7 linked regions of the Oryza sativa Japonica Group genome follow. The main gene of each other region encodes a partner of the protein of the gene in region 7 in a complex. Links are inferred from orthologs where the notes say so. Each region holds a gene or a part of one and is shown on either strand. Other genes may lie near its edges.

Region 1 (3,983 bases), on a different chromosome or scaffold from region 7:
AGATAACAGTCTCACAGTTTATCAATGTTGTTTGATAGCCTTTGATGCGCTTGCATGGGCTGCAGCATATAGCAACAGGCCAAGCAATAGTGCGCTATACCTTGCATTGGCTACGGCTACACAGTCGAAGCAATGCCATAGAAATGTGACTACTGAACATGTCAATGTTCATTGTTGATAGAACTGGGAGTACGGAAGATAGTCTCTTTAAGATGGCTAGGTCAAAATATAAGCAAAGGAGGACTCAACAAGATTTGAAAAAAAAAACAACAATCAGGTCCTCCTCTGTCTTATGCCCACATTGGTGGTGACTGGTGACATACTTGATGGCAGTGGGTGCTACATGGACACGGCGAGCTACAGAAGATGTTGCCTTGACGCATTCCCAAATAGGGTTTCACAACAATAGAGGTTAAGGCCATGACAATTCATGAAAAGGTTCATCAATACCATAGATGAGTACATCCAGAGCTAAATGAGATTGTTCTTGGAGCAGAACCATCAAGGTCGACAACCTAATCGTTGATATTGGTGATAGAGACAAAGATTTCATGGCAAGTTGCATAAAAAAGCACCAAGAAGCTTACCTTATTAGGGCCTCCATAGCCTAAGGTTGAGGAATCCAAGCATATAGCAAACAAAACTCAACTGCTTCTTGAAGGTTTGCCACCAATAAAGAGGAAGAAAACTATCATCCTTGCGAAAAGCCTGCTGGAGAAAAGAAAGATAACTTGCCTAACTTCCCTTAACTAGGTCTAGCTTTCTCCTAACTCACGGTGATAGAGAATTACCCGGTGTTTTAGAGGGATACCACTAGAGAAGAAACTTCGATTGCCTTCTCCATGAAACCTAGGACTAGAAGGCCAACATCGCCGACCTTCACGCTCAAACTAAAAGAAAAACCCAACTAAATTGATTGACCTACAAAGAGAGAGTTTGTCGGACTTCTCTCCCTCACCTCGCCGGCGGCAAGGTCACCCGAGCCTGTGAGGAAGAGGGGTCGAGGAGGCGTAGTAGTTCAGTTTGGCTCTTTCGTCCGAGAGTTCACGAGAGTTCTCATCACTCGTGTTAATTCGCATATTCTTTATGGTCTAATCAACACATTCGATCCAACTCTTTTATAATCTTTAACTGATTAAATCAAACGATTCTAAACTTTAGAAAGGAGAAACAAAATGAGTACGTGCAGTATCGCTAAAAAACTAGTAGGGCATAGTTTCATGTTTTTCATGGGTATCTAATCTGAGCCGTTGATCTCCAATCGAACGGCTCAGGGTAACCTCCCTATCCACAATATTATCCCTCTTCTTTCTTTCCGATACGATAGCCCACACTCTCATCCACACTGCTCTTCCCCCCCGCGCGCCGGCCATGGCCACCGCGACGCTGCCCCTCCGCCTCCTCGCCTCCAAAACCCTAGCCTTCCCCTCCGCCCCGTCCCTCCCGGCCTCGCGATGCTCCCTCCCCGTCGCCGCGTCCGCGCCCCGCCGCTGCTGGCGGCTCCTCGCTTCCGCCGAGGAGCCGGCGCCCGCACCCGTGGAGGCCGAGGCCGAGGCGGAGGTGGTAGAGGAGGAGGAGGTTGAAGAAGAGGAGGCTGCGGTGCCGGAGCCTGTGGAGGCGCAGATCGCAGCCGCGGGCGCCGGGAAGGACGCCGACATCTTCGCCGTTGTCATGGTGGGGCTAGCTTGCCCTTGCCGCCAATATTTCAGATTTAGTCCTGCTCGGCTCACTGCAAACAAACAAAAAAAGAATCACATTTGTTCATGCTACATTACCTCGAATTCTTTAAATAATATCATTACACAGGCATTTGGCGCTAGTTGCGTTGCTTCTTGCGGTGAAGTGAGCATTTGATTTCAGGCTTGTGTTGCTTACTCTATGCTGCATAAGAAGCTTAGGATTCACGCGCCAATAGGAATGCGCGCACGCCGATTATTAGTATGTACAGGACACACCATTAAGAAAACGGCGCAGAGAATTACAGTGTTTTCGAATGATACAATACTAGTCTTACAGAGAATTGTTCGGATGCATTTCTGAAATATGCAGGAGTGCATCTGAGGAGGGTTTCTCTGTGTTTTGTTTTGTATGAGCGCTGTGAATAATAACGAGGGAGCTATTTTGATTATTTTTCTTCTGTCGCAGATTGGGTCGAGACAGTACATTGTGATGCCTGGAAGGTATATATACACGCAGAGGCTGAAAGGCGCCAATGTCAATGATCAGGTCTGGTGCTTCCACTTTAGAGGATGCAGGAGGATACTTGTTACACCCTAACTAGAAATTTGGCCTATTTTTGCTAGTTAGTTGGTTTGTATTAATCCATAAATTTAAAAGGTATATGATGCTGAGGTGGCTTCTAGATAAGGTGATTGTAAATTAGGAAAAGGCAAATATATAGTATTGGTTATTTGGTTATTATTCTTTTTCATCCATGAGATGCAATAACAAACTTCAAAACAACGAGGAAGGTTGTACATTCTGAAATTATGGAAAGTGGTAGTGACCTACTTCATTTTAGAAGTAAAAGAGTCACTTCCCTGTAATTATAACACTTCAATCCCAGTTCCTGATTTCACATAAATATCTTATTCAGAACTTTTCGATAAGTTTTGTGTAGCCTGCATATATTAGCTTCGTTCCTTTTCTAACTAAAATTACTCCTCTGATGCAAAGCTTCCAATCCCATAGGACCCATACGTTGGCTTATGTTGCTGGCATTTTTAGTATTGTTTTCCCAGAAATTCTCACTTCTGGATAATGCTGATGTGCAGATAATATTAAACAAGGTATTACTGGTATCAACTAGAGACAAGGCTTACATTGGCATGCCAGTGGTGACCAATGCTGCTGTTCATGCAGTGGTTGAGGAACAGGTATGTCCTCTGTATGTTGTCGGGTTAATCATGGATATTCAAAATTACTTGACCCTGATGTCTCCCCAATATTTTTATATCAGGGACGGGATGATAAAGTGATAGTCTTCAAATATAAGAAGAAGAAGAAGTACCAGAGGAAACTTGGTCACAGACAGGTAAGTTTTTCCAATTACCTTCTTCAAGAAAGGTAGAATTTTATTGATAAATACTGATTCAGTTTTTACAGCGAAGCAATTAGAGTTCTTTTAGATTAAAAATCTCTGTTGTTTTGCAGCCAAACACAAGGTTAAGAATTACCGGCATAAGTGGATACGAGGACTTCCCTGCTGACCCGATACTTGAGTATGTTCCAGCTTAAGAGCAATTGTAAGTTCTGTAGTTACAAACAACTGGTAGTACATTAGAATACGAGTGCTACCTTTTCTTGTCTGGAAGAACAGTTTTTGAACAAAATTTGCTTTGTTCATGTGTTCGAGTGCTGCCAGTCATCCAGTTGTTCCATCCTTTGTTTATTCCACCATCTGTTTTGTTCATTCTGATATTGTGTATCCTAGCCAACTGTATTATTTTCACTGTGCTTAAAAAAAGAGAGAGCATTTTACCACGATACGGATGTTTTAGCTTTGGTTTGTGTAACTTTATACAGTTTTTGTGACTACTGATGCTAATTTCACTGTTTTTGGCATCTGTACCAATGGTGCTTAGTTTATTGAACGGGCTATGTCCTAATATTTTGGGATCAGTTACAGTACTATGTTCAATGCAGTTCTGGTCATGATTTATTCGAGTGTTCTAAGAGAAGTTCTGCAAGGCCATATATAAGGTGTTTGTGTGCAACCTTGTACTGCTTAGGGCACATAAGCAGCTGGTTAGGACTTAGGCCATATAAGCATCTACAAGGCAGGTGGCTGCATGGATTCTGCTTACCACTTTTTAGAACCTTGGTTCATGAAGAACTGCAGAAGTTTTGCCCTTTTGAATCCTTACCAAAGATAACCAGTGGCATAAGGCGTATAATCTTTTGGCAAACTATGACTGTTTCAGTAGTCCTTCACCCCTAATTGCATATTACAGTTCTGAATTATAGTGGTTTTCAGACATCTT
Region 2 (3,796 bases), on a different chromosome or scaffold from region 7:
CCAGCTTCGGTGACTTGTGTGAGAATATTTCATGGCCTAATAATGTGTCGCATTGACTGATGCAAGAAACCTATTGTCCCTGTGTCATTGCTGAAGATATTGTAGAAGTTAGCGTTAATGGTGACTGGAAGCTTTACATTGACATTTCGTGCTGTTGCACTTGATGTGTAGTTTGTACATGATGCTTAGTTAACATTTTCCCTCTGTTGCACTTGCTGCGGTTGGCCATGTCGCGCTCTGCACTCTTCGGTTGTTCAGACATGAGAGTTTACAATAATTCAGTATTGGAGAAGTTGGTAAAACTGTCAGATTGTTGACGCTTGGTGAAGTTTGATTCTCAAGATGTGTTTGTTACACTACCGTCTACCATTACATGTTTCCATTCCCTGAACACAGAATAAACAGTGATTGCAAATTTGACATCCAAGCACAAGATGATTAAGATTCTGTTAGCTTCTAGTCCAAAGAGAGTGTGAACTGAGAACGGGAGATCGATAAGATTGAGTAGAAAAAAAATTAGCTTTACGAAATTCAAAGTTACGCGTATACAAAACCTGGACATGGGCAAAGAACATCTCCAATTTACAGTAATTCAGTAAACAACAGATCACAAATCTCACAGAACAGGACGAAACACATGAGAAAAATAGTCTAGTTCTTGGGGATGTTCTTGCCGACGATCTTGGCAGGAGCGATGCGGAGGAGGTTCCCGGGCTTCCCTGGAACGGCGCCCTTGATCATGACAACTTTCAGGTCGTTGTCGATCTTGACGATCTTGAGCTTCCTGATCTTGGTCTTGGTTCCTCCCATCCTCCCGGGCATCTTCTTCCCCTTGTACACCCGACCCGGCGTCGTCCCGGCACCGATCGATCCCAGAGCTCTGTGGCTCTTGGAGCCGTGGGTCATCAGCCCTCGCTTGAAGTTGTGCCTCTTGATGCCACCTGTGTCGATGTCCAAGAACCGTCAGTCGCAAATTGAGAGCATAGTTGCACAATTATGCCATATTGCCATTAGATGATCAGGAACTAAAAGAGATATTGGTGCTCTTGACTTCATGAGAATGCTATAAACGATTATGTTGTTTGGGGAGAAACACCCAGGGGTCTTCCAACTAGCTCCACAAGGTGGTAGGCTAGACGACCTGGGTTCGAAGCCTCACCCATTCTAATTATTTGATATTAGGTCCTTCTCTAATATTTGTGTCTTTTTTATTATGTTGTTTGGGAAGAATATACATGAAATGGATAATGTTTGCGGTATTGGCAAATCGTTGGTCGCAGCAAATCAAGAGCGCAATTGCAACGGGTTTACGATGTTATATTCACTTCATGAAAATTATACAAGTGATGCTGATGGTTGCAATAAATTGTGAACTATAACGAATGTGTTGACATGGTACAGGTCTGCAACTCCAAGAACAGCATTGACATTGCCATATTGGCAATGCCATTGTGCAAGTCTAGGACGCTAATCAAGAGAAGAGGCTAAATGATTCTTCCCAAGAACAATTCTGTACACTAACATTGGTGAGCATATGGTAAATTTGATACAGCAAAATTTCAAGCTTGTTCTCAAGTCTTCCTCACAATGTAAAGCATTGTTCAAATTCAGACAGGGCGAAATGGTAGTCACATTGTGAAAAGGGAGTAAAAAAAAATAATCAAGTTTACTGACCTTGGAACCCCTTGCCGATGGACTTGCCGGAGATGTCGACGAGGTCGCCCTCCTTGAACATGTCGGCGAAGTCGAGCGGCTGGCCGGGGTCGTACCCGTCGACGGACTGGAGGCGGAACTCCTGCAGGTGGCGGAGCGGCGGCGCGCCGGCCTTGCCGAGGTGGCCGAGCTCCGGGCGGGTGAGCTTCTCCTCGCGGACGCCGTGGTACCCCACCTGCACGGCGTCGTACCCGTCGGTGGCCGCCGTCTTCACCTGCGTCACCACGTTGCCGCCCTCCCGGAACCCCACGACGGTCACCGGCACCGGCTTGCCGGTGGCCGGGTCGAAGTAGGTCATCATCCCGACCTTGGTCGCCATCACCCCGACCCCGGCCTCGTACGACGCGCGCACCACCGCCACCAGCGGCCGCCGCCGCGCCGCCGCCGCAGCCGCGCCACCTGCGCCGCTCCAGGAGGCGGCGCGGCGGCGCGGCGCGAGGAGGCCCAGCGCGCCGCCGCCGCCGCCGCCGATGCCCACGGCCGCCATGGCCATTCTTGGTGCCCCGGATTCGAGCGGGGATTTGCTCACTCCAGCAGTGTCCCGGCTTCGCTTGCTGCTTTGGTTGTTTTTCGTGTTGAATTCGATTGGATTGGGGTTTGCGGCTAATGCCCCCTTATCCTCCCGCCTGCAGAGAGGCGCTTTTTAGGAATACGCTTTCTTTGCCGGGGAGGTGGATTCCGTAACAGTTGCAAAATACCACGGGTGCATAATAAATTACAGGTTAGGCTAGACAGGCGGAGCTACCTCCTGGGCAGGTCGGGCGACCGTACAGACTCCGCCGCTGATGTTGCTACTATTCTCCATTGATAGCACATGTAAAAATTTAGGGAGTAACTATATATATATTTATAGCGCCGTATTTTTCACCAAAAAAATAGTCGGCATGTATTTACATTGCAAGTCCCTAAATTACATATATAATTTTAGTGTATTTACAATGTAAATTCCAAAATTACATATGTAAGTACTAAAATTACATATGCAATTCTCAAAATTACATGTGTAAGTTGATGTAATTCCCAAAACTATAAATTTGTGATGACACGGATATTTAGTTTTTAAGACTAATTAGTAATCCTAATTAGCAAATAACATTAAAACAACAGAAGAGATCAGAAGAGAACAGAATCGGAGGGATATGCGTACACTGCGATGATTTCTGCATCCGCATCTGACGGTTGAAACAACCGACTGAAATCCATCGTAATTTGTAGCGACATATTTTTAGCAATACCGAAAATTTATGGATCACTAGTAAACGTTCCTTGTCTCCCAGGTTTAAGTATGCTGCTAGCTTTGCCATTGAGACCATATAACTTTACCGAGTTTTATTTTAGATAACGTGCTATCCAGTGTCCTTACTTAAAGTCAAGTGTTTTTACCTAGATCAATTGTACCTTAGCACGGTGCCCCTGTGCACCAGGTGGGAAGATATCAATGGGAACTGAGTTTGGTACAGATGGTTTGTTTTAGTATATAAGTGGGTTTTTGTAGGTTAGCCACTTGCACTCTCGATGACCTTCATTGCACTAACACAGTTCAGAATAGCTCACTACAAAATAGTGATTGAACACTTCAAATTCTATCGAACCAATAACGTTGTTCAAGAATTGAAAGCAACGAGAGAAATCCATTGCCTTCTACGCGAGTGAGATTCAAAAACACAAATCTTGCGCTCCATCACTAGTATTTTCACAATTCACATTTTGCTATATCTTTATTGTTTTCTATGCCCTTCGCTCTACCTGATCACTTATATATAACAAAATATTGCTTTACTTAGCATATGTTCTTCTGGAGGGATTGAAAACCCCCTTCGCATGCAAAACGAAGCAACATACTAACACTGTCGGAGCTTGGGGCTCCTCACCGGGAGACCGCGCAGGCCCCCCTTTGCCGGTTCGGCCGGGGGCGCTAAGTGAGGTTCTTCACCCTCGATCTGTGGAATATTCGCGAGAGAGCAAATGCACGAGACACGGGCGATGTAGACAGGTTCGGGCCGCTGAAAAGCGTAATACCCTACTCCTGTGTTCTGGTGGATCTGTGTGTGAAGGAGTTACAGAGAGCTGGAGAGCAAGAGAG
Region 3 (3,961 bases), on a different chromosome or scaffold from region 7:
TGGAAGAAACCTCTGCTGGGTTTCCTCCTGATGACTCTATTGGTATTTCTGGAATGGAGTCCTCTTCAAGAGACACAGCTAATAAGAAAATCAAATTGTCAAAGGATATTGGTTTGGACCGTCTAACCGCCACAACTGTTCAGGAAGCACCGAAGCGTCCAAGAACAACCTCACTAAAGAAGAATCAAGAGTGCAGCAGACAGAAGAAAAGAAAAATAAGCAAGTGGGATGGTTCCTACTCTGTAATCATTGAATGGTTGAATTACTATTCTGTGGATGAGTCAGATGAAGATGAGGTGCCTTTGATAAATAAAAGAACCGAAAGAAGAAAGCGGCAGAAGTTACTGAAACTTGTTCTTGCTAGGGAATCCAATAGTGGCAGTGAAGGTGCTAGTTCTACATCTTTTGTAGAAAATGGCAGAAATTCTAGCAGTGCTGGCTCTTACCCCCTAAGCCAGGGGGACAATGACAAATCTGAAAATGTGCAAGCTAATCGAGTTGATGTAAGTTCATTGCCAGATCATCCTGTAAGTAGTCATGTAGCAGCAGAGGATCAAGCTGGCCAAGCTGCATCGTCACCATTGAACTCACCAACTAGAGGTATCGTTGTTGACATTTCAGATGGTTGATGGCCAGAGTTCCATTAGTTTCTTTCAGCTGAGGCCTGGACGTACAATTATCCAGACTACAGTTGTAACACTTACTTTTAATTCCTTGCACCTGTCTACTGCTAGACATGCAACGGGACGATCCTGTGAAGCATGTGTCTTGTACATGTCTTCGTTTCTTCCTTTCTCATTTCACCTTTTCTTTTCTTAGCATAGATCAGTTCAGTATACTTAACTCTGTCAGGTTGTGTGACCCATCAGTTTCTCTCCGTACTAGTCTCTTGAAGAACAGCAAAGATCAGGTTTTCTCTTTGGTTGATTGTGTGTGGAAGATCAATCCAAATATGTTCATTTCTTAAGAAGATAAATTCAGTTCTATTCTATTCATAAACTTTTGTAAACCTTCTAAAATCCTTTAATAAACAAGAAGCAAAGTGAGTAATACGAAACCATTCACAAAATAGAGGGAAAAGAGGCCCAAATTCCCAAGGGTTAATTGGATTCATGGCCCATTTATCCAACCGTCTTATCTCCCTCGTGTCCTTCCCCAATTATCCCCTTCTATCCACCCACACCAGCAAGCCGCTCAGGCGCGCTCTCCGCTCCACCGCCATGGCGTCCATCACCCTCCTCTCCCTCGCTCCCGCGGCCACATTGCTCCACCTCCCGGCCTCCACTTCGCTCTCCACCTCCTTCGTCGCCGCTCCAGGCCCCATCTCCGGCCGCCGGTCCGTCGTCCTCCGCGCCCGCCCGCGCCGCTGCGTCACGGTCGTGTGCAGCGCCGCGGCGGCCGAGGCCGCGGAGGCGGAGCCCGCGGAGAAGTTCCGGCTCGACAACCTGGGCCCGCAGAAGGGGTCGCGGCGGCGGCCGAAGCGGAAGGGGCGCGGTATCGCGGCGGGGCAGGGCGCGAGCTGCGGGTTCGGCATGCGTGGACAGAAGTCGCGCTCGGGGCCAGGCGTCCGGCGCGGGTTCGAGGGAGGGCAGATGCCGCTCTACCGCCGCATCCCCAAGCTGCGCGGCATTGCTGGAGGTGAGTCTCTTCGAGCTTCCCGCTTCCCCTCCTCGCCCTCAATCGAAGCCTCACACATTCAAATGCACTGGAAATTGAGTGGGAACACGCTAGCACCTTCCATTTGGAATGCAGAAATGCTGGGATTGAGAAGTGACCCGTTGCAAGTTCTACCTTGCGATTGCAGGAATGCATATTGGCTTGCCGAAGTATGTGCCGTTCAATTTGAGAGACTTGGCGCGTGGCGGGTTCAAGGATGGTGACGAGATATCATTGGAATCCTTGAAATCGAGGGGTTTGATTAATCCGTCTGGCAGGGAGAGAAAGCTTCCTCTGAAGGTACACTATACGACGATTATCCTTCTTTTTTTTAAGTCGGTTCTGTAGATGACCATGTTTTACTGAAAACTGAAATATGAATGCCTTGCATTTGATCTTTGCCAGTGAATTCATCAAGTTCACCAGCAGTCTTGGGTAATCCTTTAGTTGTTGATGTTGTGGATTGAATGGCTGGCCTTTTTTTTTCTTGTAGTTCTCAAATGTTGCTGTGTTGGTCTGTCCTTAGCAGCAATTACCAAGTTGAGTATTCGAAGTCTCAAAGTTGTGTGTCGGGATCAATTTTCTTAGCTCGTGTTGGACAAACACGGTATGATTTGACGAGTGTTTCTATTGGCTACTCAAGGATCTAGAACGTATGAGTTATGATGAACCCACACATGGTGTAGGCCTGCATATGAGCATATCTGTCAGGCATAAACATGAAGTGGTATCAAGATCCCAACAAAACCATGTGCTCTTACATGTACCACTGCATGTCTGCATCACTCCCAACATACCCAAAATATTTACTGTTTGTCTCCACTCTTAGTTGGCGGATTGCTGGAGTAGATGCATTAGTGTGCTACTGGGTTGCCCCTTATAGTGGGTAGTGGTGTGGCGCTTGATCACTGATGTGACAAAGACTTCTCCAAGGGTGGAACTTAATGCACCTTGAATAGCATAATTGTTCAACTTTTATTGTTCTTTCTGGTCCTATTTCATTTGATTGATTTTTTCTATACTCTAGGCTCCTAGCTATGTGGTACATATAAGGTAAAACCCACAGGGCTAAAACAGGTATCAAGACCTAAGTCATAATGTGGGGAGCTATCAACTTTATCCTTATGATAGGCTTTTTCCTTCTTGACATCTGATTCTGATGTTCAGCAGATGGCGTTCCTTTCATCTTTGTTTGAGTACAATGATACTGCAATGTTGCTGTTGTTATTGTATCTTTTATCATGCGGGTAGTATTAGTATGCTAACTTTTGAAAACCTATCTGTAGATTTTAGGAGATGGTGATGTATCAGTCAAGTTGAATATCAAGGCTGGGGCATTCTCTGCTTCAGCCAAGGAGAAGCTCGAGGCAGCTGGTTGTACTTTAAGTCTGGTACCAAAGCGGAAGAAATGGCTACCACAATCTTATCTGAAGAACCAAGCTCGTGCAGAAGAATACTTTAGCAAGAAAAATGGTGGTGCTGGTGAATCTGATGAAGCATCTGCATAGAATTCATATACACTGTACTTCTCCTTTACCCTTTTCTTTAACATATACTTATTTCTCTTACCTTGTTCCAAAAGTTCCACGTTCAACGAATTTTGAATCCGTGCGATATGCAAGCATTTTTTTTTGTGTGTTTCCTGTTTAAATGGAGAAAATTCCTTCTATACCCCTGAAAGTTTAGCCAATCCCTTCTACGCCTCCGAGTTTTGTCCACTCCTTTGTATGCCCCTGAATTTTGGTTTTGATCCCTTTCATACCCATACCGTTAGTTGAATGTTTAATTCTAATGAAAAGGACCTTTTTGCCCTTAGACATGAAGGAAATCTAAAAATTGTAGACTAGCTATATTGTTGGAAGTGTATAATTTTGTTATATAAGACTATCATATTCATGACTTTATTGTACAAGGTATTATTCATGGCAAAGTTTATTTTTACCTAATGACATAAAAACTAATATTTATTTACCTACTAAAAGAGTATATGTAGCATTTGTTTATGGTAGTTCAACATATTTTCTCCTGTTGTATATATTATATAGGAATGCTTTCCAAAACTATGTTTATCATTTAAAAAAATGCTACATGTACTTTTTAAATATATATTAAATTTTTTATGTACATAAAACTTATGAATATGATAATCACACAACAAATTTTATACTTCCAACAATATAGTTTACAAATTTCTACATATTCCTCACATATTGAAGGGTAAAACTGACTTTTATATACCTATTAAACGGTCAATTAACGGCAAGGGTATGGAAGAGATCCAAATCAAAATTCAGAGGTATACAAG
Region 4 (3,600 bases), about 25 Mb from region 7:
TCAAAATCTACTTGCATCCTTGATATGATACCATCAACAATGTCCATCAAGCTTGGCGCCGTGCGTATTGCTCCCTGCGGTGGACGGAGGACATGCTCAGCTTCGCCCTCGCACACATTGTACCAATAATTCCCTGGCTCCACGTCCCCAAATTTCCTAACGATCAGGGGATCCCTCGACTTGGAGAACTTGGTGGGCGCAACCCTGCTGTCCTCGATGATGCGGACTCCAAGCTGACCCTGTGCTCCCCACTTGTCCCAATCCTCCCAGAACCGCTTGTGTTCAACGATCCCGACCACGGATTGCAGGTGCTCAATGTCAATATAGAAGGCGAGGCGCTTGCCCTCCTCGGGCATGCCCCCGGCGTAGGCGGCGGCGAGACAGACGCTGAGATCGAGGACGAGGGTGCGGTTGAGGTAGCGGGCCTCGGCGATGGAGCAGAGGAGACTACGAAGATAATGCGGCATGGGCTTGCACCGGTCGCCGCCGCCAAGGTAAGAGAGGTACTTGCCCGCGGCGAACTGGGAGCGCGAGAGCGCGGGTGGGGGCGGCGGGGCGGTGGCGTTGGTCCCGCCGCGGCGGGGCTTGCGGGCGAGGGGGCCGGAGTGGTATTCCCCGATGGAGGTAACGGAGTAGGCGCAGGTGACGGGGTCGCGGGCGACGGAGAAGCGGCGGTAGTCCTTGTAGTTGGCGGAGGCGGTGGATCGGGCGCGCCAGGCCATGTCGCAGGAGGACGACGGCGGGTCGCCGGGGACGGGGCGGCCGAAGCGGTTGAAGTGGACGTCGGGGAAGGCGTCGATGGCGCGGCGCATCATGAGGTGGAAGAGCTGCGGGTCGGCGCAGTCGAGCGTGGAGGTGGTGTCGCAGCTGGCCTGATCCTGCTGCTCCAGGTGGGACGTGGTGGGCGTCAAGGCGGCGGTGGGAGGGGAGAGGGAGATGGGGAGGTTGCGGAGGGTGAGGAAGAGGAAGGCGACGAGCAAGAGGGCGGCGGCGGCGTGGGCGGAGGAGGTGATGAGGGCGCCCCGCCCCAGCAACGGCCGGCTCGGGTCCATCCGGCGACGGCGACGGCCGACGGCGATGAGATCTGGTGGCTGATTGTGTAATAAAGCCCCGTCTGCAGGCGGCGGACGGTGGTGAACTTGTTTCTAGGAAGACGACGAACTGTTCCTCTTAATGGGCCTAACATGAGTGGGCCTAAGACGAAGGCCCATGATTTGGCCCAAGAATCGCATCTCGTCGTGGATAAGACGATAAAGCAACATTGTGTGGGGATAGCCATAGCCCTGCACCGCACCTCGACTCCCCAAACATGGCGCTCGCCCTCGTCTCGCCAATGGCGGCTCTCTCACTCCACTCCGGGAGGATCTCAGCGGCGGCTATCGGCGGCGGCCTCCGCTCTCGCAGGGCATCCCCGATGGGCGCCGCCGCCACCCCGTTCCTCCGGAGCTCCTTCGTCTCCTCCTCCTCCACGTCATCCGCCTCCGCCTCCCCCGCCGCGCTCTCTGCCGCGGTCTCGGCGTCGCTGACCTTCACCTCTGCCTCCTCATTTGCTGGTGAGAATGTGTACTTTACTCGTTCCTGATTCGCTTCGTTCTGTTGCTACCATTTGGGTTGGGGAACTAGATGGAGGAGAGAGTTGCCTGCAAAGAGAAAGGGAGGAATGAACTTTTGTGCTGCTGGTTTCGGCTTTAAGTACTGTACAATGGAGTGTTTATACTGTCAGATAGGTAGCGTGTACAGTTAATCAGTGCTTAATGTCAGAAGATAACTAAACTAAACTAGCGATTTTAATGCAATTGATATATTTGAAAGTTCTGATGGTATTCTGGCAATTTCCTGAGAAATCTTAAATTCAAACTCTGCCGTACTTGTTAGCTGCTGTACGCAGCTTGTTATAATCTGCAATGTCTGATCCTAAAGCCCACGCATTCTTATAGTTAACCATGTGCTAGAGAATTTTGCTTAAGATGTGGATTCCGATTAAGATTAAAAAAAATCACTTGTTTACACATCCAGTTTTTTAGTGTAAGAACGTGTATATATATTCATAATTCAGTGATTAGTTCTAGATGGTTCCATGTTAGGAAACCTACACGGCTGAAAGTTTCTTTTCTTCCTCCATGTACTGTGATACTGATATTGTGATTTCCAGTAGTGCCAGATGGACTGTAGATTGTAGTACATTCTTGCGACAGAATCATGAAAACATCACAAAAACTCAGGAAACTCCACTTTTTGGAGCGAGCGCATGAGCTTAATTTAGTAAACTCATTATGAAATATATCATCTAACATAATTATACTACGAACTAACGAAATCACTGAATCAAGAACGTTTAACTGGACAACTCAACTTTTTAAACAGTTCAGTTACAATTAATAGCCTTGCCACCTAAAGCAAAACCAAAATGCTCCTAAAACAAGCCAATAACGTTAGATTAAAGGAACTATTGCAATGATATTATCCTTTTGGAAAATGAACTGTACTTTACATACTAGAGTTTTTTTCCAAATGATCTTAGAGAACAAAAACACAAACTAAGGGCAATCAAATAGCCGGTTTCTGTGCTGTACTGTTGTATTTAGCAAATCCATGTTCTTATGTATCAAACCATATTTGTTCCAACCTACAAATGATTTCAGTATCCTAATATGTTACATATTTCAGGTTCATCTTTGGGAATTGAATTCAGCTACAACAGAGTTACAACAGGAAGATCCCGGATTCTGCAGATTAGGGCTGGAAAGGCTGCTCTGTGCATGACCAAGAGAAATAGATCTAGGAAGTCGCTTGCCCGTACACATGGTTTTCGCAGACGGATGAGGACTACTGCCGGAAGAAAGGTCCTGAAGCGCAGACGCGCCAAAGGAAGAAGGGTTCTCTGCACAAAGACGAACTCCCCCACTGGGAAGAAACGAATGTTCTGATTGAATCGCATTCTAAGTCGCTCTTTGTCACAATTGTAAGTGTATTTTTTTATCCCACGTTCTCGGTTATACTCAACCATAACAATTGGTGCAAATCCTTCACCCGGTGTCCGGTTAATGTGTGAAGTACATTATCAACACAAATTCAAGTTAGCCTTTTTGCTTGTGCAGTATTTAGTAGTTGTTTGCTGTGGGAATATGTTCTCCTTGATCTGCATTGCCATGGTTTTCCTCTGATCTATCTTGACTGCATTCTGAGCATAGATTTTGCCAAAGGGCCTAAATGCTAACTTGAGCAGTTGCTCAAATAAACTCATCAATTTTTCTATTCTGTAGTAGAACGTCCCTTTTATTTTCTGATACAGTCCAGTGAATTTTAATATTCAGATCATCTCATCATAGTCACTCCATGCTCCACTGTGTAACACAATTTATCCACCTCCTCTGTGCCAATCTCTTTGGTACACACTTATTTGTAAAACAACCTGATTGCCCATCCAATCCTCTGTCACCTTATAATTTTGCTACTATCAGGCGAAAAAATGGATAATATCCAGAACTCAACCTGGAATAAATGAAAGGCAACAAGTAGCAAAGAGAACATTTACATTCTAACAAACTGAATCCCTCCTCTTCTTCACTCGCATCGGCAAGCCGCCTTCCATCCTCAAGG
Region 5 (3,993 bases), on a different chromosome or scaffold from region 7:
CTAACTTTTTCCACCCTCACCCACAAACAAATCTAACCCAAATAGTTTATGTACTAACAGGATGACTAATTAGCTCAGCTTTGCCCGCGGCACACACTTTTGGCATATAAAGTCCGTGTCAAAGTTTCAGATGAAAAGTTTCTGGATGGAAGTTTCCAAACGAAGGTTTTTTCAGATGAAAGTTTTCATTAAAAAATGTGTTGAAATCCCTATGTTTGGGCCTAATAATACAGCGACCAAGCGGCCCAACCTACGACCACCAGACTGCCTACGTGCCATTTTGGCCCACCCAACCCAAATATTGTAGTAGCTCTATCAAACTATATGACTATAAAGAACGTGCACCTTTAAACAAGATTACAAGACAAGTATCAGTTGCTCTAGACTCTGAACCCTTTGTTGTTTACATCATGCCCATTTAACCCCATAACATTAACACAAATAAATTTGTCAAAAAAAAAAAGGTGCAAGAAACTGACTTTACAGGTAGGATGGACAGTGGCAATGTGTAAAGACCAAGCCCCGTGATGTGACACTGCACCTTGGAGTTTCAGCAAAAATCTCTGCAAGTAAATCATTGCATGAATTCAGCTGCTAACACAATTGACGAAATGTATATGACAGCTTAAGAACGGAGCAAAAGGTAAGGAACAATGGAATGCCTTGCAGATGAGCTTACCTGGTGAAATCAGAATTCATCCAAAGCCCACCATCCACTAAAGATTCAATCAAGCAGCTTCAGGGCTTATTTCGCATATACGGTCAGCCTTACTTGAGCTGTGACTTCAGGGTGAAGCTTAATCTCTGCAATGTATTCCCCAATTTCACGAATTTCTGGCACTGTCACGAGACGCTTGTCGACATCCCTACATGAAATAGTTTCCGGTAAGCAAAGCAACAGCAGCAAATAGAGCATCGCAATCCTTCCTTAAAAGGTAGTGATTGTCAGTGCACTTAGAAGGGCATACCTATTAAGTTGTGACTTTATGATGTCAACAAGATCTTGTGCTGTGACGCTGTAGAATAGAAGAAAAACTTGTTATTAAGTGCAAGTAAAATAAGACGATACATAAAGAACTATCTACTCGATAAAAACTTGCCTCCCAAATATCTGTTTTCCTTTCCCACCTTTACGTGGCACTTTGAATGCCCCAATAGTTTCAAAAACACGGGCAAGTTGCTGTGCCTCTTCTTTTACCTACTCAAGCACAAATGCTCAACAGGGTAAGATTATGCTAACACTGGATGAAAGTTCTTATACTCTTATGGAAAATGATATTGGTAGGAACAAATCATGCTTTAGACTTTTTACAAAATAAGCTAAACCACAACTACGTACCCTGGAGAACAAGGATTAGTAGGGTATAACTACCACAGTAGTTTTTAGACAGACAGGAACAAATAGGAATAAGTTTCAACTATATCAATTCTTACTGAGTCCACAAATAGAATAATAGGTTTACTTACCCGCTTCTTTTCAGCATCTATCCTCTCCTGTTCTACTTGCATTTCCCTGTAGACAGCAGCAGAGGAAATTAAGTAGCTTACTAGCCATCCTTTTACAAGAACTAATTGAACATGTTGAACACCCCAGAAGAACTGAACTAGAAATGCAGAATAGGCATCTATAAAAGTTTGCAGATTTATATGTCAATCCTGGGCTCCACAAGGAGGCAAGAGATACAATGGCTAACACAACAGAATAAATAGCTGCAAATTTACACCTGCAGCATACTGTGAAAACCAACTACGATGAAACATAAGCATACGTCAATTAATTTACTAGGAGCACCTATCTGTTGGTTGAAACATAGCCTATACAATTCGTGAGATGTGGTAAATGACTGTAAGACAGAAGATTACTTGAGTACTTCTGGGGTGAGCAGCGTTGCCTTGCCCTTTGGCAGAAGGAAGTTGCGGTAGAACCCGGCCCTCACTTTAAGCGTGTCCCCTTTCTTCCCCACCTCTGCTATGTCATCTGTCAGTATGACCTGGGAGAAAAAGAAACTCAAGTGAAGTAAATCAAATACGGAATCGTGCATTACATGCTAAAGTATAGAAATGCATAATAGACAAGGAAGATGATGACATAGGCTTGGAACATTTTACAGTTTACAGGTGCAAATTTTGAACTGGGTGTATCTAGATGCCTTTTAGTTGCAACTTTCCCTACAAACAAACAGCATGGCCAAACCAACAATTCCGGCGTTCCGGGGCATATACAGAATCATATTAGAGATGACTTTTGCATCTGAGTTGCAATGCTAAGAGGCACCTAATTAAAAACATGACGATAGTTTCTTCCATTTCCATGTACTGCATCAGAGCATGCGTCCATGGCAATGTATCTTTTCCTATACTCAGATGTGTGAATGCACACAGTAATCTTAAGCTTACAGCTGCTGCATTTCGAATTTTTCGATCGATGGAATGCAGTCGCATGCGCTTTGTAATCTACTGTACTGATTAGTGGACAGGGTGGTGACAGACAGTACATTGGGTATGGCTAGTTCTAAAAGAGGCAAAACAAAAGCATCACCAGCAACAGCTTGTTCAATCAGTCAGTACTAGTACTGCTTAGCTCGAACGAATCGCAATTAAATACATACATACATACATGCTGCAACTGTGGAGAGAAAATACAAGTGGAAGCCAAACCTGGCGATACTTCTTGACCTTGCCCTGGGCGACGACGACCAGCGACGGGGAGCGGCGCGGCGGGAGGCGGGAGGAGGGGGCGGAGGAGGAGGCGGCGGAGCTCCAGGCGAGCGTGGAGGCCATGGCGTTGGGGATGGATTGCGGGGGAAGGGAAGGAACTGCGGCTGCTGCTCTCTTATCCACTTCCCCAACGGATTTGGTGCCCTCTCTCTTGGGCTTTGCGCTGCTTTGGGCCTTTCAAATCGGCCCAGTATCAAAGGTTTTCTTCGGGGTTGTCATGGGCTTGAAGATTAAGGGTCATTTTGGTTTGGCGCTCCTTCTTGCCTTACTAATTCTTTGATAACTTAAAGGTCAAAAATAAATTATTTGGTAACTTTGAATAGTTAACACGTAACTATTTGAATTAGAGTCAAATTTTGCTAAATCAATAAGGTGAAGCCAAATAGACAATAACAAAAATTTAGTAATACCAAAATTTACTCAAGATTTGGCATTGCCAATATTTTGGCATGGTTTCATACCAAACAAGTCGTAATAATAATCCACCAAATTGTAACCCCCTTCCACTCAACGTATAGAGAAAGGTAGGAGATATATATGTACGTGATACCTCGACGATATTACTAAGATAGATAGATAGTACATGTGATGCCAAGATGTTATAACATACATTAAGAGAAACACTCAGGGGTCTTCCGGCTAGCTCCACAAGGTGATAGCCTAAATGACCTGGATTCGTAACCTCACCCCTTCTAATTATTTGATATTAGGTCCTTCACTAATATTCATGTTATAACATAAATCGAGAAATATATTATTATAACACTATTTTGGTGCTATCTTGAAACTCAACGATACATCACTAGCTACCATTACGTATAAACGTGTATTAATAGTATAAGCAAATATCAACGAGTATCATCAAGTATCAATGTGCAAGAACGAGTATTAGCAAATACTCCGTATCTTCATGAATAATATCAAAGAGTATAATCAAGTATCATTGTTTAATTATCAACGAGTATCATCAAAATATCATCCTCGTATATCATACTCCAGTATCATCTTGTTGTACTTTTTCTGACAAAGATCTCCAGCTGGTGACCTGTTTCTCGAAAGGAACAAAAATTAAAAAAAAACCTAGCAAATCGTTCTTAAAAAGAATGGCGATTATATATCTTATTGAATTAGTATGTCTACTGCTCAACGAGATGAGAAAACCGAAGAGAAGAGGGGTATATAATCGAGTATATGTCATCGTCGTCGTCATGTCATGCAGCCGTCCATGACTTCGTCCTTCCCGCCATCGGAGAAACCAAACAAGCGGACTCCACG
Region 6 (4,092 bases), on a different chromosome or scaffold from region 7:
ATGCATAGAAACGTAGACTTCTGAGTCAACCGTGTTAGAATAGCTTGGCCAAAGATGCTCGATGATTCGAAATCTTCGGTCAAAAAGCTTGGAATTCATAGTATAACGACCACTGTCACTATGCTATTTGGTTTTAGGTAGAGAAACCAAGAGTTCTTCGATTCGAAATTAGGTTGGTTCCTCAACCTCCTCACATGGATCGGAAGGCTTCGATTCGAAGTCGTCCGATTCACATCGGTGCCATCTACCTACCCATCCCCATTCCCCACCGCCCACGCCCAACCCTATCAAATGAAACGCGAGATTGCAACCCCCCAAAGAGAAGAAAACGGCAGCGGAAATGGCGACGTCCCGATCCCCCACGCGGCGTGATGGGGAAGAACTCCTCAGGCGTACGCGCATCGGCAGCGTCGTCACCGCGAAAGCGCCCCCCAAAAGAGAGAGGAAATGGGTCCCAGAAAAGCGCAAAAGGGACGGAACTTGGGGGGTTGCTTGCCTCCGCAACTGTCGCTTGGCTTGCGCGCGTCGCCGGCGACGTCGAAGCCGCCGGAATCCGGGAGGCGCCACGCCTGGGCGCCCCCGCCGAAGCAGCATCTCGCGGCGCGTGGCGTGGTGATGATGCGTGTGGAGACGAAGCCACGCAACGCAACGAGGAAGACGACGAGCGTATGCTGGGCTGGGCCTTATCCGAAAACGGGTGTCGGCCCATATCAACCCAGGACGTTCGGCCCACGTTACTTGACCACAAACGGGATTGCGGACGACGAGCGGCCCACGACATTTGGGCCTTAACCGGATTGCTGACGTGCGTGATAGTAAGTCTATTTTGCCTCCCTCATGTTCTCTGCGAGTCAGCCTGCCACGTCAACAGGAACCACCCTACAAACCATCTAAGGGTTGATCTGCTACGGTTTTCGCTTATTCGAATCGTTTATTAGCAAATAAAAATTTATTTATGAGTAAAATGTTTATATATGTCCATAATAACTTAAAGCAAATGTTGTAAAATATAAGCATTTTAAAAAAACAAAAAAGCAAATTCAAAACTAAGTTCTCAAATTCAAATTTTGGCTCATAAATATAAGCATAACCAAACAATAAGACCGATTTTCCTCCATTTTGCGGTTGAGGGAGGTAATTCAATCAGGAGCAGAGATGAGAAATGTACAATAGATTTTATCTGTGTAGGTGCGACCTGTTCTTGTTGGGTCGAGACGGGATTGCGGCTTACGTGAGGCCCGCTATATTTGAGCCTGAACGGGATCGCGGCTGACTTGGGCCGTAAGGTCCGTTGTAGTTGGGCTGGATTACGATAGGCCTTTCATTAGGCCTTTATGAGTCTTACAAGTGGGCCAATCCATTCGGCCTAGAGGCCCATTTGTCATGTAGAAAAGCGCTCGCCATTATCCTGTCCGCGAGCACACGAAGGCGTTCGTTATCCTCTGCTGCTTCTCTGCGGTTTGAGCGAGCGAGGGAGGAAGAGGAGGGGAGGAGACGAAGATGGCCGGGGTGGCGGCGTTGCAGGGCGCGATGGCGTCCCTCTCCATCTCTGCGCCGGGGGCGGCGAGCACCAGCAGCTTCTGGGGCCACCCGCTCTCCACCTTCGCCGCCGCGCCGGCTGGGGTTTGTGCCGACTCCCAACCCTGATTCTCATTTTTCGCATTCCTTTATGTTTGCTCTGCTCTTATGATTCGCTGGAAAAGTAGAAATGCCAGCTTGCACTGAGATTTAGGATTTTAGAGCTCACCAACAGCGTGGCATTGCAATGGTGATGTCTACATCGCCTCACTGTACTGTTGTTGCCTTCAGGAGTTCAGGCTCAGGACCTCAACTAGCCAACAACCAACGTTGTGTCAAAATTTTGTGGTATATTTTTTTTAGAGAAAAGGTCTCAAGGATTTTGTGGTATAGTTGAACCTAGTTGGCTAGTATAAGGAGGGTTTATATGAATTAATGAATGCTTGAAATCTCAAGTTTGAGTATATCAACTGAGTGAATTCAGAAGTTAGAAATTGTGTTGTCTACCATGGGATGTGGCCTGTTATGTTTCAGTTTAAACTTGAATATTATTTTTTTCCTATGGTGGTATAAGCGATGGATACCCAATATTCAGCCTTTCAAGCAGAGGATTATTTTTCTGAAAGATGTGCCCTCTAGTGAGACAGACCATTTCTTGTTCTAACCTGCTGTATAGATCACATTTCGCTGGCTAGAAACAATTTTGCCTTTGAACTTTAAATTACTCAACAGTAGAAATTTCACAGAAGACTTCCATGGGAAAATGATGGAAACTCATTTCACTCGGGGATAGCCTGTAGCAAATGATTGGCACACTCGGTATACTTATCAGACTGAACTTGTTCTATCTTTTGTATATTCTTTTTGGCGTTCCTTAGCTCTTCTAGATAGTCTACTGCACTTCGTCCTCAGAATGAGACTCACTCACGACTAATTACTTACCTGGAAAGTGGTGATGAGAGAAAATAAGGCCGAATAATTGCTCTTGAATGGAGTGACTGAGCTATATATGGCACTTATATGATGAACTGTACTAAAATCTGCACTTATATGAAGAAACTCGTACTAAAAGATCATATGATTATCCTAGATATTCTTGCCTAAGAAACATCGTGAGCATGATTCATGTCATATCTCAAAAGCAGCTGATTATTACATTTTATGTCATTTTCATAAGAAACTCTGACAAGATATGCATAAATTTTTATATGCAGGTTAAATTTATGATCAAGACATGCCCAATTCAAATGAGGGTAAGTTTCAATTCTTTTTTGGTCTGCAGCTTGCTATTTACTCAAATGTCTGAAATTTCCCTTTTTCCAATGCAGCTTAAGCGATGGGAGAGGAAGAAGTGTAAACCAAACAGTCTTCCTGTCCTGCACAAGATGCATGTTAGGATTGGCGATACAGTACAAGTCATTGCAGGCCGTGAGAAAGGTAAAGTTGGAGAAGTTACGCGGCTTTTTAAGCACAACAGCACTGTAATAGTGAAGGACTTGAACTTGAAGTCCAAGCACAAGAAAGGAACAGAAGATGAACCGGGTGAAATCGTCATGGTCAGCATTGTTTCTCTTGAAACTTCTTTCTGTGCTGCTTCTAGCTAGTGTCGTATATATAGTTTCAGATGCCTGATCGTTAACCTATGGTTGTTGGTGTTTTCTTTGATCAGATTGAAGGCCCCATTCACAGCTCAAATGTGATGCTCTACTCAAAGGAAAAGAATGTGGCGAGTAGGGTTGGACACAAATTCCTTGAGGATGGAACGAAGGTTCGGTACCTGGTCAAGACTGGTGAAATAATTGACAGTGCTGAGAATTGGGTCAAGGTGTTCAAGGAAGGAAGTTCGGAGTGATCATGGTAGCATGGGAGTCCTGCACATTTTCTGAACTGCACTTTTTGTATGCCCAAATGAGTTGATGCTTTTCTAGATTCAGATTTCAGAGTCTTGTAAATTTCTATACAGTTGCCAACATTTTTTTGTATCCAATGACATGCTTGGCTTGTTAACCAGCTACTAGAATGGTTCAGCTACATTCGCTCATACAAATGATTTTGTAATGTTGTTGCTGTCCCCTGTCCTGAGCTATTATTCGCAACCATTGACTAATTTGGTCCATTTCCATATAGAAATATAGATGAGATGTACATATAAAACCCATGAATGATTGATAAGTTCTTTTTTTTAAGGAGTAGTAAGATAGGAGTATCATAAAAGAAACAAGCTTAGCAATTTTTTTTTTGAAACAACCCGCAGCGATGTTTCTATTGATATAGTAGGAAAAAAATACAAATATATAGTGCTAAAAGATAGCGATGTTTCTATTGATATAGTAGGAAAAAAAATACAAATATATAGTGCTAAAAGATTATAGTCAGAAAAAGGAAAAAACAAATCTGATTTGCCATTGATAACATGAAAGCTCAAGAGCTCGTGCTGACGGCTGAGAATCAACATAGCAGATATGGCACGCAAATATCAAATCCAGGTGATCGTAAGCAAACCACAGTTTTCTGCTTGCGTTTTGCTCCGCGAGGGAAACCTGACACCTGTCCAGATCCCATGAGACGAAGATG
Region 7 (2,980 bases):
AGACCAGAGGGGCCAACTTCCTTAAGCCTTCTCCCTTGCAACCAAGCAAAGTCCCAGAATTTCGCTTTTGTACCATCTCCAACTGTCGTCGTCGTTCCCACAAAGAGGAGTTTGCCAATGTTGTCGCAAGGCGTCTCCGACCCCACTCAAAGCTTTCTTAGATAAACAATGTAGCAATCAGTGGCGCTTGGCGAGCCCATGGTTCAATTTTTCGTTTTCAGTATTTGTATTGGGGTGCTGATATACCGAAATTTGGTCCAGAATTATTTGAATTTTCGAACAAAATTTGGTCAAATTTGAATAAATATTACTAAATTCACACAAAAGAATAAAAAAAACTTTGGTCGAACCGGAAATTTGAACCCTGCGAGCCAGCCTGCGAGACTTGTCGTAGATTCTGTAAATCTTCTCTGACACTGATACAACGATGGCTCGTGCATCATCCTCATCCTCCTCTCCGGCAGCATTGATGTCCATGTCGAAGCTACGCTCGGCTGGAGGATCTCTGCACGCTCCATAATCTTGATGGGTGTCCGCGAGCTGAAGGAGCAGAAGCTTCCATCCCCAATGGCGCACGAGAGCTGACGACCCGGATCAACCATTGGCAGCAGCTCCTGTACAGACACCTCCTCGTCCTCGATGCTGAAACTGCTCTACGCCGGCGACGGCGACGGCGACGGCGACGACGAGGAGGAGACATTCTTGATGCGGTACACGGCGGCGCCGGCGCGTGCTTCGGCTTGGAGTGGGAGACGAAGAGGTTGTCGCTAGCTGCTCTTCTCATCACCGATGGGCACCCGCTTGGCCGTCGAACGGGAGGTTCTTGTCGTCGGCGAGCTCCCCCACCTCTTGCTATCCACGTCGAACGCAGGATGTGGCGGCCGGCGGCGGCGTAGGACGCGACGGCGAGCGCGGCCGGGCGGAGGGGACGCCGCCGATGCGGATTGTCGCCGCCACCCGCGGCGGCGGCGGAGGCGGCGAGAGGAGAAAAAGAAAATCAAAATCAAAATTTCTCTCCACCTATGACATGTGGGCCAACTGCCAAGCAGCCTTACTTGACGGAGATTAAATCTGGCCGTTGATTCTCCATCGGACGGCGGAGCGCTCACAGCAGCACAGGCTTATCTCCTCCCTCCGGGCTGATGGGTGGATAGGCTGACGACGGGCCAAGAAGCCGAATCCCACACTGCCCGTGGCCATGGCGCTGCTCCTCTCCCCGACCGTCTCCTTCCTCGCCTCCTCCTCCGCCTCCCCGCCTCGCGCCAGAGCTCTCCCCGCCTCCGCCAATGTCGCCTCCACCATCCCCGGTAACCTCCGTGAACGCCTTCTCCGTACCGGGACTTTTGCGCATAAGTTACTCGGGTTGTGGGGTGTTGGTTCTTGGATTGGATTATGCTGAGTGGGTACGAGGCTATCCATTGTTGTGAGGTGTGATTTGTAATTCGGTGGGAGGATTGGTCTAGATATTTGACGTTGGTGATTCGTGGCGTTTCTGATTCTCTGGGATGCGGTTGGCTCGTTAGGGAATTTCTTCAAACACGTCGTGTGCAGATGCAGTAATTCGTGGGAGATTCCGTGCATTTATCATCTCTGTACAAAGCTAGGTATAATTCATCTCAGTGAACTCTGCAGATTCTCGAAGCTTTGGTTCTTTCGTGCTTAAATGATAATATCAGATGCTATGTAAGCACCGGTCACTGGCAAAGGGTGACATTCGTAGTACACCCTACATTTGGGGCCTGATTGTTAATAGATGAGTAGATTTTACATATCTGTGCTCTGCTAAGATTCATCATAATATGTAATTGAGAACACTAGGATTGTTACTAGTTATTGTACTATATACTATCCATGAAGTGGCACACATGAGCTAGACTTATTAGCTTTCAAGTTTCTTATATGACGGAGATTCTATCAAAATTTTGAAAGTAGCATGCATGTACTCTGAATTCTATATCTAAAATGATGCACATTGAGGCTTGCCATTTGTCCTTTCTGATGCTACAGCCCCAAGGCTCCAGTGCAAGAATCTCTCCTCGCAGAGCCCTCTGAATGCTTCTTTCACCAAGAAGAGGCTAGTTTCTGTCCATGCCTCGGCAGAGGCTGGCGCAGAAGAAGCTGGCACAGATCAACCAGAGGAGCCAAAACCCACGGTTTCGATTGAGACAATGCCGCTCGAAACTAAGCAGAAGATGATCATGGAGCAGAGGGCGAAGATGAAGCTGGCCAAGAAGCTGAGGCAGCGGCGCAGGAGGCTTGTCCAGAAGAGGCGGCTGAGGAAGAAAGGTAGATGGCCACCATCCAAGATGAAGAAGCTCAAGAACGTCTAACCAGCAGTGATGTCGGTCGCTGTTCTTCTGTACACCTCTATGTTCTGTTCATCCGTCTCTGTATTTCCTAAGCTGATGCCCAGCGAATTTTGCTGTTCAAAATATGAAACACAATGTTTGCAAAATGTGATTATTTCTTTCCCGATGAAATTTCATCTTGTATTTTTTAGATAATGGATAAACCGGTCACCGTTAAAAACACACAAAGCCCAGTACTGAACAAATTTTCTTCTAACATGTCCCTCCTTTTTCTCCTTTAGGCTTTAGCTGTCCTACAGAAGTACCACTAAATCTAATGTGTGTTCCCATAGTGGAAATATCATATGCACCTTGATGCCTTCTGTGTTTGTCAAAAACTCAAAATCATAGCAAATTTCAAGAAGCCTTGCTGTGCTGCACTCTATATTTGTGAGGTATTTGCCTGTATATACACTTCCATGATGTGTTTTGTTAGGGCCTCTCACAACTCTTTCGTCTGACCTGATGTTGATTAAAGCACAAAGGATCAACCTGGACAAGGAAATAACTGGAGCAAATTCGGGTTTGTTTGTTGTTTGCCACTTTGTCAGGCACGATGTGAACAATCTGAAGAGTGCCATTTTCGATTTTTTTTCTGATGCCCTTCCTGTTGATGTGGTTGTAAAATTTAT

What was found.
Region 1: large ribosomal subunit protein cL37 (region 7) and large ribosomal subunit protein bL21c share a complex: the UniProt entries of both Arabidopsis thaliana proteins name them as parts of the 50S ribosomal subunit. The link is inferred for Oryza sativa Japonica Group from reciprocal best matches to the Arabidopsis thaliana genes PSRP5 and RPL21C.
Region 2: large ribosomal subunit protein cL37 (region 7) and large ribosomal subunit protein uL3c share a complex: the UniProt entries of both Arabidopsis thaliana proteins name them as parts of the 50S ribosomal subunit. The link is inferred for Oryza sativa Japonica Group from reciprocal best matches to the Arabidopsis thaliana genes PSRP5 and AT2G43030.
Region 3: large ribosomal subunit protein cL37 (region 7) and large ribosomal subunit protein uL15c share a complex: the UniProt entries of both Arabidopsis thaliana proteins name them as parts of the 50S ribosomal subunit. The link is inferred for Oryza sativa Japonica Group from reciprocal best matches to the Arabidopsis thaliana genes PSRP5 and RPL15.
Region 4: large ribosomal subunit protein cL37 (region 7) and large ribosomal subunit protein bL34c share a complex: the UniProt entries of both Arabidopsis thaliana proteins name them as parts of the 50S ribosomal subunit. The link is inferred for Oryza sativa Japonica Group from reciprocal best matches to the Arabidopsis thaliana genes PSRP5 and AT1G29070.
Region 5: large ribosomal subunit protein cL37 (region 7) and large ribosomal subunit protein bL9c share a complex: the UniProt entries of both Arabidopsis thaliana proteins name them as parts of the 50S ribosomal subunit. The link is inferred for Oryza sativa Japonica Group from reciprocal best matches to the Arabidopsis thaliana genes PSRP5 and RPL9.
Region 6: large ribosomal subunit protein cL37 (region 7) and 50S ribosomal protein L24, chloroplastic share a complex: the UniProt entries of both Arabidopsis thaliana proteins name them as parts of the 50S ribosomal subunit. The link is inferred for Oryza sativa Japonica Group from reciprocal best matches to the Arabidopsis thaliana genes PSRP5 and RPL24.

Annotation. Positions count from the first base shown.
Region 1 is NC_089036.1:9,030,857-9,034,839, reverse strand, and holds large ribosomal subunit protein bL21c, read left to right. Parts: upstream 1-1,325; 5' UTR 1,326-1,371; coding exon 1,372-1,674; intron 1,675-2,145; coding exon 2,146-2,226; intron 2,227-2,774; coding exon 2,775-2,876; intron 2,877-2,959; coding exon 2,960-3,034; intron 3,035-3,153; coding exon 3,154-3,237; 3' UTR 3,238-3,483; downstream 3,484-3,983. UniProt on the Arabidopsis thaliana protein: This protein binds to 23S ribosomal RNA in the presence of protein L20.
Region 2 is NC_089036.1:1,980,082-1,983,877, forward strand, and holds large ribosomal subunit protein uL3c, read right to left. Parts: upstream 2,301-3,796; 5' UTR 2,207-2,300; coding exon 1,675-2,206; intron 942-1,674; coding exon 652-941; 3' UTR 501-651; downstream 1-500. UniProt on the Arabidopsis thaliana protein: One of the primary rRNA binding proteins, it binds directly near the 3'-end of the 23S rRNA, where it nucleates assembly of the 50S subunit.
Region 3 is NC_089037.1:6,341,805-6,345,765, forward strand, and holds the start of large ribosomal subunit protein uL15c, read left to right. Parts: upstream 1-1,161; 5' UTR 1,162-1,220; coding exon 1,221-1,638; intron 1,639-1,804; coding exon 1,805-1,956; intron 1,957-2,942; coding exon 2,943-3,164; 3' UTR 3,165-3,178; exon of another isoform or gene 3,179-3,280; intron 3,281-3,920; exon of another isoform or gene 3,921-3,961. Other genes in the region: uncharacterized protein, read left to right, coding at 1-629.
Region 4 is NC_089035.1:34,740,188-34,743,787, reverse strand, and holds large ribosomal subunit protein bL34c, read left to right. Parts: upstream 1-1,285; 5' UTR 1,286-1,309; coding exon 1,310-1,553; intron 1,554-2,666; exon of another isoform or gene 2,667-2,667; coding exon 2,668-2,927; 3' UTR 2,928-3,100; downstream 3,101-3,600. Other genes in the region: uncharacterized protein, read right to left, coding at 1-1,052. UniProt on the Arabidopsis thaliana protein: This protein binds directly to 23S ribosomal RNA.
Region 5 is NC_089036.1:35,818,859-35,822,851, forward strand, and holds large ribosomal subunit protein bL9c, read right to left. Parts: upstream 2,801-3,993; 5' UTR 2,782-2,800; coding exon 2,659-2,781; intron 1,992-2,658; coding exon 1,864-1,991; intron 1,514-1,863; coding exon 1,468-1,513; intron 1,199-1,467; coding exon 1,101-1,198; intron 1,017-1,100; coding exon 969-1,016; intron 867-968; coding exon 746-866; 3' UTR 680-745; intron 564-679; 3' UTR 326-563; downstream 1-325. UniProt on the Arabidopsis thaliana protein: Binds to the 23S rRNA.
Region 6 is NC_089040.1:29,338,661-29,342,752, reverse strand, and holds 50S ribosomal protein L24, chloroplastic, read left to right. Parts: upstream 1-1,420; 5' UTR 1,421-1,500; coding exon 1,501-1,623; intron 1,624-2,732; coding exon 2,733-2,771; intron 2,772-2,846; coding exon 2,847-3,074; intron 3,075-3,187; coding exon 3,188-3,370; 3' UTR 3,371-3,592; downstream 3,593-4,092. UniProt on the Arabidopsis thaliana protein: One of two assembly initiator proteins, it binds directly to the 5'-end of the 23S rRNA, where it nucleates assembly of the 50S subunit. Required for optimal plastid performance in terms of photosynthesis and growth.
Region 7 is NC_089035.1:9,871,317-9,874,296, forward strand, and holds large ribosomal subunit protein cL37, read left to right. Parts: upstream 1-1,152; 5' UTR 1,153-1,198; coding exon 1,199-1,307; intron 1,308-2,007; coding exon 2,008-2,330; 3' UTR 2,331-2,480; downstream 2,481-2,980.